Linked DNA regions of Coturnix japonica. The protein of the gene in region 1 binds, or shares a complex with, the protein of each later gene. Links are inferred from orthologs where the notes say so. Each region holds a gene or a part of one and is shown in the gene's direction. Other genes may lie near its edges. The genes, in order: ARL1, ARFIP2 and GOLGA4.

Region 1 (5,122 bases):
AGATTCCTTTGAGTTAATCTGATGGTTAAATTTAAAAGGTTGGACTTTCCTTGGAAGAACTGACAATAACACGTATTGTTCAGCCGCAGACTTCAGAGTGTTGTCTATTACACATAATCTTCAAATGAACTACTGTTTATTTATGTCATTGAAACAGAATGAAGTTCAAATAATGAAATCAGACCAGTGCTCCAAAACAATGTATCCCTAAATATTCTAAGAGAAAATGAAGAACTAGAATGGAGACTGGTGTTTTGAAAGTGTTTGTTAGAGTTATAGGCACTGCTGATTTGCTGGAATGTGATGAATTTTGATAGAGGTCAGAAAGATTAGTGACTATGGGAGGAGCTTTTCACTGTAAGTGCCATGTTGTGTGATCATGGCTGCTCAGTGACTTAGAGAGAAATGTTAAGTCAAAAAATTACTTTAACTTCTAATACGCAAGTTTAGTGACAAATTTTTTGAGTATTGCATTCTAAAACCATTTATGACAATGTAGAAGAATGATGGTGTCAACATAATTTTAACCTCTGATTTTCTATCACTAGATTCCTTTGGTTCAGAGTCCAGCTTGGATTTCAGCAGTGGACTGAATCGAGTGAGTCAGCATGATATAGATCAGGTGAGATGTAACAGTCTACTGAAAAATATGGAATGCACATTGTTACCATGCAGCTATTGAGAGCAGTCTGACTACCATTCTCCCATATCTCAACAACCTGTGGTAACACCAGCTGTAAATAACTCGATTTAGAACTAATGATGTGTTGCACACTTTTTTTTTACAGAACACTATGAAGCAGGTAGAAACTGAACAGACTGTAAAGTGTGAATATTTACAACAGAATTGATTTATTCCTACACAGAAGTTTAATAGTCTGTGTTAATTGGTTGCAGAAGCAGCAGGAAAAAAAAAAGATCATTTTTATTAAAAACATCCATTGACTTTTCAGCTGCTGTTTGTGGACAAAAAAAGAGCCTATGATCAAAACCCTTTGTAATCTCAAGCACCTTTATAAGAAAAAGTTTTGTTTAATTCCTAAAGATTGTAAAGTATTGTGAAAAAGCTGGTAGGTATTGACAGGTGATGGATAAGCATGCTCTAGAATGATAAGATTTTTGTATTGTTGACTGAACCAAATCTCTGTTTCTCAGCTTCAGATTGAAACCGCCAACAGTTTTGGTGAATCCCTACAGAAGAAACTTCTGGACATTGAGGGGTTATATTCGAAGGTTCGGTCACGTTACACCTTTATTCAAGCTCTTGTAAGACGTATCCGTGGTCTTCTAAGGATATCAAGGACCTAAAGACTGATATATGAAGCTTGCCCCTTGAAGCTGTGTACTTGGGCAGGCCTTCTGGATCATTGCATTTTATAGATGACTCATTTTCTAAAGAATGTCAAAAAAAAACCCCAACATTTTTGTTACTTTTTTTTTTCCTTATCCCTTTGGATCAGTTTTGTGCATTCTTTCTTACTGCTCCCAACTTGAAAGGAAAAATAAAGAATCATTTTTAAGCGAGTTCTGATTCATATAAGAACTAAAGCAAGAAAGAATTCCAATGGAGGACATAAAGGAAGCAAAAGCTGTTCTGTGACTGCAATGATACTATACATAAGGAAACAAAAGCTGTTCTGTGACTGCGATGATACTGTATGTTCGGATGCTCTCAGAGACAATGGAAAGGTTTGTCTATTCGTACTGTTCTTGCTTCACACACGTTTAATGTGATCAGACTCTTTGATATGGATTTTATGAGAAAGGTGACCATTTTGCACTGTAAGCTGCTTGTTTATCTTCCCCAGTGCCCTGCCTTTTTTCAGCTGACACGGAAACAAGCTTCTCTTTGGAGAACTGTAGGAACAAGGAATAAATAATCATGGGGAAGGGCATAGAAGGTGGCAGCCGGTACAGCCGCCCTTGTAACGCCATGGGCGCATGAGAGGCGGGCTGTGTGGGGGACGGGGGAGGGATTAGGCCGCGCCGCGCTCATTTCCGCACACGCCGCTTCCGCATCAGCAGATTCGTCACTTTTCCTCGTAGGCCCGCTTGATTAATTTCATCTTATTTCTCCTCCCTTTTTCCTCCCGTCCCGCGTACCTCTGTACCGAGAGGCTTCAGGTCTCCCTGCGTTCTGTTTCCCCTTCTTCCTTGGAGGCAGAGGCAGTCCCATCCCCGTGTCGAAACGGCGAAGTTGGGGGGGGGCCGCTTCCTTTACTCGCCGCGGCGTGCGACGTGGAGCTGACAGGAGCGGCAGGGCGGGCAGGGCCCGGCGCAGCGGCTCGACATGGGTGAGGGCTGCGGGGCAATGGGGGGCTGTGGTGCGCCGAGTTGTGCTGTGGTGCTGAGTTGTGTCGTGGTGCTGAGTATTGAGGGAGGCGACACCCTGGGTGTGGGGCTTGGGCCGTCCGCTCGGGTCTGACCTACGGACGTGGCGTTAGAGCAGCGCGTTCAGTCCCGTGAGGGGGCACGGAGCGGGGCAGCGCCTGCGGCCTTTGTGCACATGGATGCGATGGGGGGCTGGCAGCGCGACTCTATGAGCAACAAGCAACAAAACTGCGCTTCCATTGAAGGAACGAGAAGCGGGTGGGCCCGGGAGGCACGTTACGGCTCAGGGGGAGTCATTCCTTGCACCGCAGTGTTCCTGTGCGGTGGGTCGGTGGAGTTGGGAAGGCAGAGGCCGATGCAAACAAAGGAGGAGGCTCAGATTTTGGCAAAGGAGCAGACTAACCGCAATGAGGAAGCTTAGTGCTGCTGCAAGCTTCGTTTTGTCCGGGGAGATTTGTGATAGAATAATGGCATAAGACCATGAGGGAAGGATGTGGTTCAGCACTCACAACTTGCCTTTTTTCCCTCTGAATGTGAGAGATGTGCTGTGCTGTTCAGTAAGCAGGACAGACTCTGCTTTGCCAGCTGACCTGGAGGTGCCTTTCTGTTCTGCTTCTGTTTTTTGTAGGGGGCTTTTTCTCCACCATCTTTTCCAGTTTGTTTGGAACTCGAGAGATGAGGATTCTCATCCTGGGGCTGGATGGAGCTGGGAAAACAACCATCCTGTACAGGCTACAGGTTGGAGAAGTTGTTACCACCATTCCAAGTAAGCAGTCGATCCGTTACTAAACAGCTGATTTGTTGGCTCTGGAATGTCAGCTTGGTCAACCGAACTCACAAGTGCTTACTTTGTAAACTAAAGCACCTTATATTGTTGCAGCCTGGCACTTACATTTAAGAACTTTCTCACATGATGCTCTTGTGGTGAGCTATACAGATACAACAAAAAAGGCATCTCTTATGCTACTCTGCTGAATACTTGGCCTCAAGGTTGCTACCACCATTGACAGTTAGTGTTCATGCTGTCATACCTCCATGTAACAAACACTGAGGTTTGTGTGCTGAAATTTTCTGGCTGAGATCATAGGATCATAGAATAGTTTGGGTTGAAAGGGACATTTAAGATCATCTGCTTCAAACCCCCTGCTACAGGCAGGGACACCTGACCAGGTTGCTCAGAGCCCCATCCAGCCTGGCCTTGAATATTTCCAGGGAGGGAGCATCCACAGCCATGATGAGCAACCTGTTCCAGTGTCTCACCACCCTCACAGTAAAGAATTTCTTCCTGATATCTACTCTAAATTGTAGTGTAACATGAACTGGATTGTGGTGTAACATGAAGGACAAGGAATGCTGGCTGTTGAATCCTTGCCACATCTCTAGAAGTCTTCCTGAATGGCTGCAGCAAACTGACTGATTGGGGTCAGGTCTTTCAGGCAGTCAATGTTCTTTTGTTTTCCTGCTCTGTGTTTCTCTGTAGTGGCAGGGAAGGGAATGACAGCTGTATGTGCTGTATCTTTACTGCCATCTTCCAGATATCATGATATGAAGTCTTGTGCTGAGAAGCAGTCTTTGCTGTGGTCTTTTGAGGCCGCAGATCTGGTGCTGACATGTAGGATATGTTCCTTAATGTTCTACTGCTGTCAGTTGTGTACTTGGTTATCAAAGCAAGCCACTCCTTGAACTGCTGCTTTGTTTCCTTTGACGCTTTCAAGCACGTTTCTGTTGATTTATAACAACTTCAGCATTTGTTGGTGGGGTCTCCATAATATGTTTATGATGCATCATTTTCAGCCATAAACTCCTCAAAGGACGTGAGCATCACTATGTTGCTCATGAAATTTTTAGGCATCATGATTTTAAACTAAATGTATTTCGGGGGGGAGGGGGGGACAAAAACAAGGATCATCAATAAAATGGTGTAACTTTGTTTCAGCAATTGGCTTCAATGTTGAAACAGTGACATACAAGAACCTGAAATTTCAAGTTTGGGACCTGGGAGGACAGACAAGCATCAGGTAACACCTGTCTGAAAATGAAAAGATATCATTATATTCCAGTTAAAAGTGCTTTGAACGCTACTCAGTAAGGAGCAGCGCTCGTTTCCTTTCCCTTTTTAGCTCCAGCTATCTTGAAAAAGATGGTTTGTTGTGACACTCAGTAATTAACTACCTATATGAATGAGCTGTTTAAATTAACTCCTCTTAGTTTTTGCTGGTGATTATTTGTGCCACGCTGGTCCTTTTCATAACCTCGTGATGATCAGTTCTTCCTATCTTTCACCCCAGAGACGGTTTTTACTTCCTCTGGTTGGTTTTTTGTTCTGTGGCTGTAGAGAACGTCTGAACCTTCATATGGCCTTTTTTGTCTCCTGCAGGCCATACTGGCGGTGTTACTATTCCAATACAGACGCAGTCATTTATGTGGTGGACAGCTGTGATCGAGACAGAATTGGCACTTCCAAATCAGAGCTTGTTGCCATGCTGGAGGTAAGAAAATGAGAATGATGGTCATATCAGTGAAATGAAGCTGCAGTTCTTGGAGCAAATGTGAAACTTGATTCAGTGAATCACATTCGGTTGTCAAATTTTAGCCCTCAGAACAGGCCCATGCAGTGCTTCTAACTGAAGCAACCTCAATGTGCTGTGGGTATTTTATGTCTGCGCAGTAATTCTCTGGACATTACATGTAGCCTTTTGGTCACATGAAAACTTGCCTGTCCACAAGAACAGCTGCTCAGTGCATCAGTGGTAGAAAATCAGGCCCTGAAGGAATTCCAGTGGAGTCCTAC
Region 2 (5,222 bases), about 130 Mb from region 1:
GGAAAACTTCTCCACCACAGGGGTAGACCCAAAGGAGGGTTATCACCACACTGAGTGTCACACACTGTAGCTGGGGCTGAGCAAAAGGGAATCTCCCTTGCAGTAACGCCACCTCCAGCAGCACCCACGGCCCAAACTCAGTGCAGATTTGCATCACTGCCTGTGCACCCAGGGCTCCTTGGGAGGACCAATGCACTGCTGTCCTGTGTAGCTGTTTGCACAGCCCAGCTCCTTCACTTCCATGCCTGCCTTTGGTTCCTAACCTTGGTTCTGCCGGATCTCCACCCATGAGCACCACCCACCTGCAGTGCTGTGGCTGACACACACAGCACCCACACTGCAGGCACTGCTCACACAGCTCCCAGCCCTCCCACACAGCCACTATCTGCCGCGGCCTTGGCTCCCTGTGCACAGCTGGGCCTGAGACACAACCTGCCTCCTGTGAGAGGAGAAACAGCCCCAAGCGGGGCCGTGCCTGGAATGCTGTGACAGGGGGGCAGTGGTGCAGCGGGAGCCCATCAGCCGGGTGCTCTCCCGGCAGCTTATGGACTTGCTGGAGAACGTACCCAGTTTATGCTTTGTCCACAAGGTGGAAAATAATCTTAGGGGCCTCCAATGTTCACCAGATCTTTGGTTTTCCCATAGCTTAAGTAACGAAGGTCGACTTGTCTCAATTACTGGCACTTAAAGACCTTACATCTGTGTGCATTTGTCTACTCTTCTAAGTGCCAATGAAACCCATCAGAGGGAAGCCAGGGAACAGGGTATCACAGAATCATAGCATAGAATCACAGCATGGCCTGGGTTGCACACAGTGCTCATCCATCCCAACCCCCTGCTGTGTGCAGGGTCACAACCAGCAGCCAGGGCTGCCCAGAGCCGCATCCAGCCTGGCCTTGAATGCCTGCAGGGCTGGGAGCTGCAGCCTGTGCTGATGCTGCTCCAGCAGCAAGAACACAAAGAAACAGTTCCTAGAAGGAGCAAAGTGGGAACCTTTGCTGGGAGGAAGGTGCCGCTGGCAGCAGGACGCAGCACACAGCGCTGCTTGTGGAGCAGTGTCCGTGTACCCCTGTGACACACTGACAGCACGACACATAAAACGTTTTATTAACCCCATGAAATGGTCAAATACAAACACAAGATGTTCAGTTCTGGACAGCAGGAGCCCAGTCAGTGCTGGATTCCAGCCGGGAGCTGCAGTGCACACAGCAGCTCATACACGTTCCCTTCCTCCTCCTGCCCCCGGTGCCGTTGTGCTGCCGGTTTTGGCCGCCATGTCGGGCAGTCCCGGCTGCTGCTGTGGGTGCAGAGAACGCGGCTCGGCCTGGCCCGGCTGTGACACCGGGCAGTTCAGCGGCTCCACACGGGAGCTGCCATCAGGTGACCGTCCCGCAGCCACCTCCCGGCCACGGCAACGCACCGACCCCGCGGCTCCGTTACGTGCCCGCGGGAGCCGCGTCGGGATCAGCGGGAGCCGCTTCGTGTCCGTCCGGTGCGGCCGGTTCCGCGCTGTGCTCGGTGCGGGCGGCGCGGCGCTGCACGATGCCGGGCATCAAGGACACGTAGGCGCCCATCAGCCGGTGGTTGGAGCGGACCAGCTTCCCGGCGCAGCCGTCCAGGCACCGCTCCTACGGGCGGCACCGGCTCCGTTCGGCTCCGTTCACCCCGTCCCGTCCCGTCCCGTCCCGTCCCGCCCGGTCCCCGCTCACCTCGCGCCGTGACAGCAGCCGGTGCCCGAGGTCGGAGACGCAGCGGCGGAAGCAGAGCTCGGTCATGCGGTTGTACACCAGCAGGAAGTCCCGCAGCTGCAAAACAGCGGCACGTACGGTCACCGGGACGGCCCGGCACCGCCGAACCGGGACGAACCGAACCGAACCGAACCGGGCCGCCCACCATCTTCCCCCCGTCCCCCCACACTCACACTGCGGAGCTGCTGCTGCTGTTCGGCCGCCGCCGCCTCCATGTCGGCCCGCCCCGCGCTGCCGGAAGTACCGGCACTTCCGCCCCGCCGCACTTCCGCTCGGGGATCTACAGCACGTCACTTCCGGCTCGGTCTCCCGGCGCCCCCCGCGCGGGTCGTGACGTAACTTCCGGCGCGTCCGGGCCGAGGCGGATCGAGGCCGCGGAGCCTCCGGGGCGGGGGGGCCCAGCGGGGCCGGGCGGGGCAGGTGGGACATAACGGGACATAACGGGACATAACGGGACGGGCTGGGCTGGGCTGGGCTGGGCTGAAGGTCGGGGTGAAGGTCGGGCCCCGGGTGGGAGCCGGGCTGGGAGCCCCGGTGCCGCCGCAGGGCCCGGCCGTGCAGTGACAGCCCGGCCTTTGGGCCGCCCCGGTCCCGTCCCGGTTCCTGGTGCCGTTGCAGCCGCTGCTCGTGTCGCTCCTGCTCGTCCCGCCCGGGCTCTCGGTGCTCGTTGGCTCCGAGCGGCGGCTGCGAGTCCCGGGCCGGGCCGCAGCGCTGCCCCCAATGCCGGTACCGAGGGGCGGGTCCAGCTCGTGATAACGGCGCTCGGTGCGGGCGGGGCGATGCTCGGAATGTGACCGGACCGGTCCGGCCGGGCCCTGCCGCGCTCTGCCGACGTGGCCCCGAGCCCCGCGCCAGGAGCCGTGGGGAGCTCGGACCGAGGGGACACGAGGAGCCCCGTGAACGAACCGTGTGTCCCCGCAGGCCCTGACCATGTCGGATGGGATCATGAGCAAAGCCGCCACCATGGAGATCCCCATCAGCAGCAACGGGGACGCCGGCAGCCTGCCCGAAGATGACGGCCTGGAGCAGGTGTGGGGCTGCGCCGGGGCCTCACGTCGGCCCCATGGGTTGGGGGTCTGTCCTTGTGCTTCAATTTAATGCTCTGCTCCCCCAGGACCTGCAGCAAGTGATGGTGTCGGGGCCCAACCTCAACGAAACCAGCATCGTGTCTGGTGGCTACGGGGGAACCGCTGAAGGCATCATCCCCACCGGCACCATCAAAGGTACAAACGGCTTCCACAGGGACGGGGCTGTGGGTGGGGGTCAGCTGGGTGTTCTGCTGGAGGCTTTAGGGCTCAGTGCTGGGGTCACAGCCCACCCTGCTGCAGCCCTGAACGGGGCCAGTCTGTGTCCCTGCTCCCAGCAGCTCTGCTCGTAGCTGAGGCCGTCCTGAGTCACAGCCACGTGGCCCTGCAGAGCTCAGCCTCCTCACAGCCCCAGAGCACAGCACTGCTGCCACCCCGCCAATGCTGTGGGGCCCATCCTGGGGGTGTGATTTCCACCCAGCTGCACTTCTTACCCTGCACGTGCCCTTGGCTCACAGGCAGCTGTGGAGATGCCTGGCTCTCTCGTAGATGCAGGGCTTCTGCTGAGGGAGCTGCTCTGCCCTCCTGGGGCACTGGTGTGATGTGTGGGCTCAGCTCTTGGGTATCCAAGAGCCCCAAAGGTGCACAGTACTGGCACAGCTGTGGTGGCTGCACCTGAGAGACACCTTTCAGACAGAGGGGGACAGGGCAGAAGGGTTCTGAGCCCCAGACTCTGCGTTAATGTCCCGTTTTTGCTGTTGCTGCCCACCTGGGAGCCCCAGGCACTTCTGAGCCTGTCTGTAAATGCTCTGTGCTGGAGGGATGGTGTCCACGGGCTTCTGGGGAGCTGCTGCTGCTGCACACCCAGAGCCACAGTCAGTGCAGCTGGAGCAGCTCTGCCCCATCCATCCCTCTCACCCTGTTCCCATTTCATACAAGTCTCTGTCCCAGCTCTTGGCCAGTCTGGCCCATCTGCTGCAAACAACTGTTTTCACTGTGGGTCCTTCCATGTTGTGCCAGGCTGAACGGGTGAATTAACTTAGGCAGAGGGGAGATGAGCTTTTGCTGACAGCCTGCTGTGGCTGGGGGGATATTGTGCAGTGGTTCCCTGTGTCTGTCAGTCCTGGCCTGTCCCAGTTCTCAACCTGGTACGTGTTGATACCAGCCTGGGGATGGGGAGGAAGCAAGAGAGGAGCCTGGGTGCCTCTGACGTGATGCTGTCTGTGCGGCTGCCATCTGTATCTACTGATTTCACATCACTCTTTCATCTGCTCCCCTGCTGCCACCCTTCCTGCACACTCATCCCTGTGTCCTGGTTGCTCCTGCCCTCGTGTCCTTCACACCCCCCCCACCTCTTCCCTCTGCTCACCTCCTGCCAGCCCCTCCATTTCCAGGCTGTCTTGTCCAACCTCACTCACCCCGAGGACCATCCATCTCCCCCAGTGCATCTGCCGCCAGCAGGATGGCCAGCCAGGCTGGTGCTTCAGCAGGTACTGCAGCCACCCCAGCGCCCCATGGTGCGACACAGCCTTTGAGTCCTCCTGTCTCAGGCTTAGGGCCCGGGCTTAAGGCTCCCGTTGTGTGCAGTGTTTCTCAGGGTCAGTTTCTTGCCCTGCTGTGGTGGGGAGCAACCCAAAGCAACCCAGACCCAACCCATGCCTCCCCCAGCAGCAGAGTCTACTCACGGTTCTTGTGCTGGGGGCACACGTGGCACTTCCAAACCACAGTGCACCAGGCAATGAGGCCGAGCTGTGCCTGGCTGTGGGATGCACTGTGTGTCTGCCTGGCCTCTCCTCCACCTCTACCATGCCCCGGAGCACAAGGAGTATTGCCTAGCACAGGAGCACCAGGGCCATTGGTGTGCAGGGCTGTCCCTGCCAGCAGCTCTGCAAGTGAAAGGGGGAACAGCATCTCCCATGTGGGCAGCAGCCAATGCAGTGAGCACCAGGGCCTTGGTTATCAATGTCTAGTAGGGTTTTGGGGGCCAGATTCTGTGCTGCAAGAGGCCAAGTCCTGCTGCTTGCAGGCAGGTGACAAATCACAGGACACTGAGGGCTCTGTTGAGCCTGGTAGCAGTGCCTGACTGGCAGGGGGGAGCCGCTGCCTGCCTGCATCTCATGGGGCTGCCCAGGGTGGATCTGCCTGCACCAGGAGTCTGCTCTGCTTGCACTTCATCAGGCCGCAGTGTGGCCCTGGGAGCAGCAGCCCTGAGAGCACTGCAGTGTGGGGTGGGCAGCCTGGCCTGCATCCAAGCCCTGTGCTGAGCCTCACTGCTGTGCTGTGTTCCAGGCTCTGGGCTTCACCAGCCTCATCCCAGCCCACCGGTCGGAGGGGAGGAGGTTGTTCGCGGCATCGCTGTGGAGAAGTTTGACATTGTCAAGAAATGGGGCATCAACACATACAAGGTACGTCGCATCCCTGGCTGATCAATACATACAAGGTATGTCAC
Region 3 (5,170 bases), on another chromosome or scaffold:
ATTCTGTCAGTTCAGTTTTCTGCAAAATCAACATACAGCAATGGCTGGAGGAAAGGCCTGACAAGCACTGGCTGTAGCACAAGGTGAGGAATGGGACTGCAGGGATATGTGGGCCCCTGTCACTGACGATTAGGGAAGTCTAGACTGCTATGAAAACACAGTCTTTTACATTAATGCTCAGTTTCCATTCCCACGGAGATACATTAACAACTGCTACAGATTCGCTTGGGAACAGACTTTTATTCTTCATTATCTATCATATCCAGAACTGTGCAGAAGTACATTTATCTTTTACCGACTTACCCTCTAGAAATAAAGTACTCTTCAGTTGCATAAAGGGTTTTGTCACCCAGAAGGGGTGGGAATTAAAGTGATTCCAGACAATTCCCCCAGGACTTCACTGAGCTTGGAGTAAATTCTTTGTATACTGAAATCAAACTTGCCCAGACACTACAAAATGAAAAGGTTTATGAAGGTATTTTGGGAAATTATCAGATGTATCTTCAGAATTTGAATATATATATTCAGAACACAACAATGAAATTTAGCAAGGAAATAATACAGAGCTTGCTTTCATGTTTTGTACATTTTATAAAAAAAATGAACAAAGTTATAAATGCTATAAAAAAAGTAAATGTAAAGGAACAATGACAAAAGTAAGGACAGGAAGTGGCAATAGTGGTAGAAGACACGGTTAGAAAAAGAAGAAGAAAAACTTGACTTACTCCATTGATATCTGGACAGATAGTCCGCCAGGATAATAATGTCCTGAAAGACGAAAGGCAGCTGTAAGCTCTGCTTTTCTATCTTTTTACTGTATGAGTTAGTTTCCTTTTAATATGCATCTAGCCATCAAATTTACACAGTACACTTAGTGACGAATTTAAAATTAGAGTATAATTACTGGTGCTGCAGAGACCAAGCAGCACTGTGGAAAAGCACAGAGGTGTGGTAACCAGGGATGTGTTGGGAGGCTGGAGGTGAGGCTAGAGGTGCAGTGGTTAGAGAGTTTCCCAGAGCACTCCTTGGGCAGTGCCCTCACTTGCTACCTGGGAATGGTCTGTGCTACTGCATGCCAGGTGTAGAGGGAATAGAAGCCATCTGACACAAGTAGCAATTTTTCCCATTTTAGAACCACAGTTAAAAATAATCACCCGCTCCACATCATTACCTTGTGGGCTGCTTTTCAGGTATTTTTGCCCTCTTAGTCTCAGAAACAGTTTCTTATACCTCTATTTACAAGGCTACCTATACACAAGTATCACAACAAGTCATTCAGTTTATCTACTGCTAAACAGACTGTTGAATATTTTTTTTCACATGCAAAAAAAAAAAGTTAGGAAAAACTATATATATATTTCCTGTGAATGTATCTTGCTGATTTTGTGGTCAGTGCACAGCAAAACTATACATCTACATTTTTTTTCTCAAATTACTTAAAGGTGACAGCAATGTATTTCAGTGCAAACATGTCAGGGTGCTTGTGATTTCCAAGTGCATTTTTCAGTGCTATATAGAAGACACATGGTTCAGCATTTCTTGCAAATCCCATCATGTATTTCCAGCCTTCACATGACATCACTGGCAACATGGCAGTTTTGAAATAATCTCATTGTTGGAGAATGAATGGTACCTGCTTTAATAGCCCTCTGTGTCTCAATGAGAGAACTGAACACACACACACACACTCACACACAATAATAATAATAATAATACGGCAAGTAATCTAAAGCTTCTGCAGTGGCCAAGAACATTGCTCAGTTTCAAATAGAAAACTGCAACTGTGATGCTGTATTCACATCCTATTTGTAAAGAACACACCTCAAGTTTGCAAACAGAGTAGGACACAAAAGGTTTCACAAAGTGACTGCTAGCAGACATGTTTTCAGCCAGCTGCAGAAAGCAGGCCTGTGTGTTTTCCACAGACCTCCACACACCCAGCAATGGGCGCCTTAGAGAAGAGCTTTGTCACACAAGGAAGGATTTAGAAACCTCTGACTGACGTTTTGGTGAGTCATAGGATCACAGGATTTCCCGAGTTGGAAGGAACCCTCGAGGAGCATCGAGTCCTGTCTCCACACAGGACCGCCCAAAATCCAGACCCAATGTATGAGAGCACTGTCCGAACGTTCCTTGAACTCCAGCAGCCTGGCGCCGTGACACTGCCCTGCGGAGCCTATTCCGCACCCCCACCCTTCCAACCAGTGAAGACCCTTTAACCAGTTCCCACTCAGATCTCAGCTCTGTCTCGCCGCACCACGCATTTATCGCTGCCTACCCACTCATCCTCTCAACCACCGCCACTGCGCTCCCCTCCCGGCCCCGCCCGAGGCCCCATGGGGCGGGCCCTGAACCACCCCCGCAGCCGGGCCGGGCCGGGACGAGCCCCAGCGTGGGGAGGGCAGCGAATTCCCGGGGGAAGTTTGTGCCTCGCTGCGCCCCGTACCGCCTCAAGCACTCGGCTCCACGTTGGTCGCGCAGGCGCAGCGACGCGCTCACCTGCTGAGGAAGGGGGGGACCCGAGGACGGTGAGGTGCCGGCCGCGGCCGAGCGGGGCAGGGGCTCGGTTCCAGTGCCATCTCACTGCAGGGGGCAAGAGAAGAGGAGGAGGAGGAGGGCGACGAGGACTACGAGGGAGGCAGCGCGCTCCTCTCGCCGCCGGACCCGCCGCCATGTTCAAGAAGCTGAAGCAGAAGATCAGTGAGGAGCAGGCGCCGCCGCGCGGCGCTGGGGGCCGGGCCGCCCCCCTCCAATCTCAGGTACCATGGGGGCCCGGCGGCGCGGAGGGAGGGCTCGGGGCATGACCCGCCGTGCGGGCAGCGGGAGCGGCCCGGGGGCTTCTGGGCGCCGGCGGGGGGGCGGCACCCTCGACACGCGGCGCTCCGGCCGCACCTCCGGGGCTCTGCGCCCACTGCCGGCCCTGCGAAGGCGGACTGAGAGGTGGGCTAAAGGGCTCGGTATGGAACGGCACGACGAGTGAGACATTGCGGTGCGGGGGGTGCGCGTTGTGGTATGCGCTGGAGTTGTAATTCGGTGTTGAGATCGCTTCTCATTCTAGTGTCTGCCCTTCACATTCCCGAGTCCCTTCTGCTTCCCTCTTTTGGAGGCCTGCTCTGCTCAACTTAGTCCCACGTGTGTGTGTTTTTTTAAGGTAGAAAAGCTGAGAAAAGTGTTGTTCTCAGCTTTACATTTTTTAGTTTGCTGATAATTTAGCTGACTTTTCTTCTCTCTTTTCTCTCTTTTACTTGTACCCCGATAGAAGTGCATAATTAGTATTGGTTTCTAGAAACTACATTTCATAATGAAGTACTGTGCGTTCAGTTTGCTGTGTGCAGTCTTTGGTAGTGGTCATGGCCAGGAATGTTGTGATGATTTCATACATGTGTCGAAGCAGAAATCTTCACTGTACCAGTTCAGAGTTGTGTAAAAGACAAGTTAACTTTACTTCATCAGACTCTGTGCTTAGACGTGTACTGTCAGCCCTTGTCTCTTGAGTTTTTGCTGGGTTAGGAATCCTTTACATCTTGGAATCTAGCAGAGTAAAAGTGATATAAACTCGGCATCGTGCTAATAGCAGGCTGCAGGCAGCAACTGCACTCTTCCGACATATCAGCCATCAGCTGCCTGTGCCTGGCTGGGTGTAACATGATGCATGGGTGATCTGGTGTTGTGTGGGCTCATAGTTTCGACCCTGCTGACATTCAGCTACTTAATATTTGTTTAAATTGCTTATTTGTCAAGTAGGGGCAGTACTTCTGGAGATGGATTGTCTGCAAAGCTCTCTGTAGCTTGTCAAGATTAATTTTAAGCCCTTTCATATCTATTCATTTTGAGTCTTCTCTAGAGAGTTAAAGGAAGTACATTTTTGTCACAGTCAGGTCAGAATAGTGTACTGAATTGGCACATGTGCTGAACTTTCATATACAGTGGAAACAGAGCTGCAGAACCTACTCTTATAAACAGCCAGATCACAGTACTTTGTACACAGTGTTTTCACCCAGTTAGCGGGACACTTGTTACGTGTGTTTTCACTATACATGAGGGCTCACTAGAAATCAACATTGTGGATAAATTTGGGTCCAAATGGGTGTGGTTGCATTTATTTATTTTCTCACATCCACGGTTCAATATATTATAGTCTTTATTTGGTTGTTAAAGCTAATGCGGACTAATGTTAGCACTAATAAGTCTTATGAAGCATAACATACTTTCACTTAGTCTGCTATGGGCAAACTATATAACTATATAACTATATATAAGGTTGACATGAGTGGAGGAGCAGACAGAACAAGAAGAGATTTTTGTTTGTGTGTGAAATAGTTTTCTTGCAGTATTACTTTGATTGATCTCTGGTACTACTAGCAGGAAACTGATGTTAAGTTTGATCCTAAAAGTAGACTGATCTGTTTGTTAGTTCCTGTGCTTTTCAAAATAGATTCTGTGATTGAGGAAGGAGAGTGAAGGTACTAAGGCCTGTAGAGTGTATTGGAGACCTGCAGGGGCGTGGGAAGTGCCTTTGTTCCCCTGCTTTTAGTAGATATATAAAGAAACTGCATTCACTAAATGATGTGCTCTGTCATCACAGCGACTAATAAAACCCAAGTTTTCCAAACATTTGACATTTTTTGTTCTATGGAACTTGTATCTGAATTCATTTTTCCTCTTTTTGTTCGTGTCCTCCCCTTTCACAGGGAGGCCTCACTTGCCATTCCCTCTCAGGGACACATAACTTGTTGGCTGTGTTCTAGCTGTGGTGTCTGAGGCTGTATTTACCACTCTAACACTGATTAAATCCACAGGCACCGTTTCTCCCATCATAACATTCATCTGAATGGTTTTTCACACAAGGTCTTTTTAGGCCTTCCTCTTCCATGTCATTGGTTAGCTAATGGATGTTAGCCCTCTGCATCTGAAAACCTGTCTGATGCAGGACATGTCAGCTTTTGAATGCTGACAGAGAGAAAAAAAACTGCTTTTGCAGTTGCAGGAATCCGTTTGATCTTTCGAACTTCAGTTCCGGAATTCTGCTGTTTGTTGCATAGGATCAATGGTTGCTCCTGCTACCCTGCATGGTGCTCCTAAAGTTACTCCCAATTGTCTAGAGGGATGAGTGCACGAAGCAATAACAAACGTAGAACCAGCCAGGGCAGAGCAAAGAGACGCCTTCATA

What was found.
Region 2: the proteins of ARL1 (region 1) and ARFIP2 are in contact, whole or in part, in a crystal structure (PDB 4DCN), measured with the Homo sapiens proteins. The link is inferred for Coturnix japonica from reciprocal best matches to the Homo sapiens genes ARL1 and ARFIP2. Residues at the interface, in NP_001168.1 of Homo sapiens: Glu17, Arg19, Gln38, Ile46, Ile49, Gly50, Phe51, Asn52, Val53, Glu54, Thr55, Gln64, Trp66, Ile74, Tyr77, Cys80, Tyr81; in NP_001363487.1 of Homo sapiens: Phe205, Thr212, Lys216, Thr217, Asp220, Asp278, Ile281, Lys282, Phe285, Leu286, Glu288, Asn289, Lys292.
Region 3: the proteins of ARL1 (region 1) and GOLGA4 are in contact, whole or in part, in a crystal structure (PDB 1UPT), measured with the Homo sapiens proteins. The link is inferred for Coturnix japonica from reciprocal best matches to the Homo sapiens genes ARL1 and GOLGA4. Residues at the interface, in NP_001168.1 of Homo sapiens: Ile49, Gly50, Phe51, Gln64, Trp66, Ser73, Ile74, Pro76, Tyr77, Cys80, Tyr81, Ser83, Glu115; in NP_002069.2 of Homo sapiens: Thr2173, Glu2174, Glu2176, Tyr2177, Lys2180, Val2181, Glu2184, Glu2190, Thr2193, Lys2196, Val2197, Thr2200, Val2201.

Annotation. Positions count from the first base shown.
Region 1 is NC_029516.1:43,427,842-43,432,963, reverse strand, and holds the start of ARL1 (ADP-ribosylation factor-like protein 1), read left to right. Parts: upstream 1-2,018; 5' UTR 2,019-2,290; coding exon 2,291-2,294; intron 2,295-2,959; coding exon 2,960-3,097; intron 3,098-4,267; coding exon 4,268-4,349; intron 4,350-4,708; coding exon 4,709-4,820; intron 4,821-5,122. Other genes in the region: nuclear pore complex protein Nup205, read left to right, coding at 549-622, 1,156-1,308. UniProt on the Homo sapiens protein: GTP-binding protein that recruits several effectors, such as golgins, arfaptins and Arf-GEFs to the trans-Golgi network, and modulates their functions at the Golgi complex.
Region 2 is NC_029516.1:174,017,292-174,022,513, forward strand, and holds the start of ARFIP2 (arfaptin-2), read left to right. Parts: upstream 1-2,054; 5' UTR 2,055-2,168; intron 2,169-2,669; 5' UTR 2,670-2,678; coding exon 2,679-2,777; intron 2,778-2,862; coding exon 2,863-2,971; intron 2,972-4,152; coding exon 4,153-4,263; intron 4,264-5,062; coding exon 5,063-5,178; intron 5,179-5,222. Other genes in the region: TIMM10B (mitochondrial import inner membrane translocase subunit Tim10 B), read right to left, coding at 1,437-1,628, 1,710-1,805, 1,922-1,963. UniProt on the Homo sapiens protein: Plays a role in constitutive metalloproteinase (MMP) secretion from the trans Golgi network. May have important functions during vesicle biogenesis at certain cargo subdomains, which could be predominantly utilized by secreted MMPs, such as MMP7 and MMP2.
Region 3 is NC_029517.1:77,565,157-77,570,326, forward strand, and holds the start of GOLGA4 (golgin subfamily A member 4), read left to right. Parts: upstream 1-2,012; 5' UTR 2,013-2,336; coding exon 2,337-2,759; intron 2,760-2,919; exon of another isoform or gene 2,920-2,940; intron 2,941-5,034; exon of another isoform or gene 5,035-5,170. UniProt on the Homo sapiens protein: Involved in vesicular trafficking at the Golgi apparatus level. May play a role in delivery of transport vesicles containing GPI-linked proteins from the trans-Golgi network through its interaction with MACF1. Involved in endosome-to-Golgi trafficking.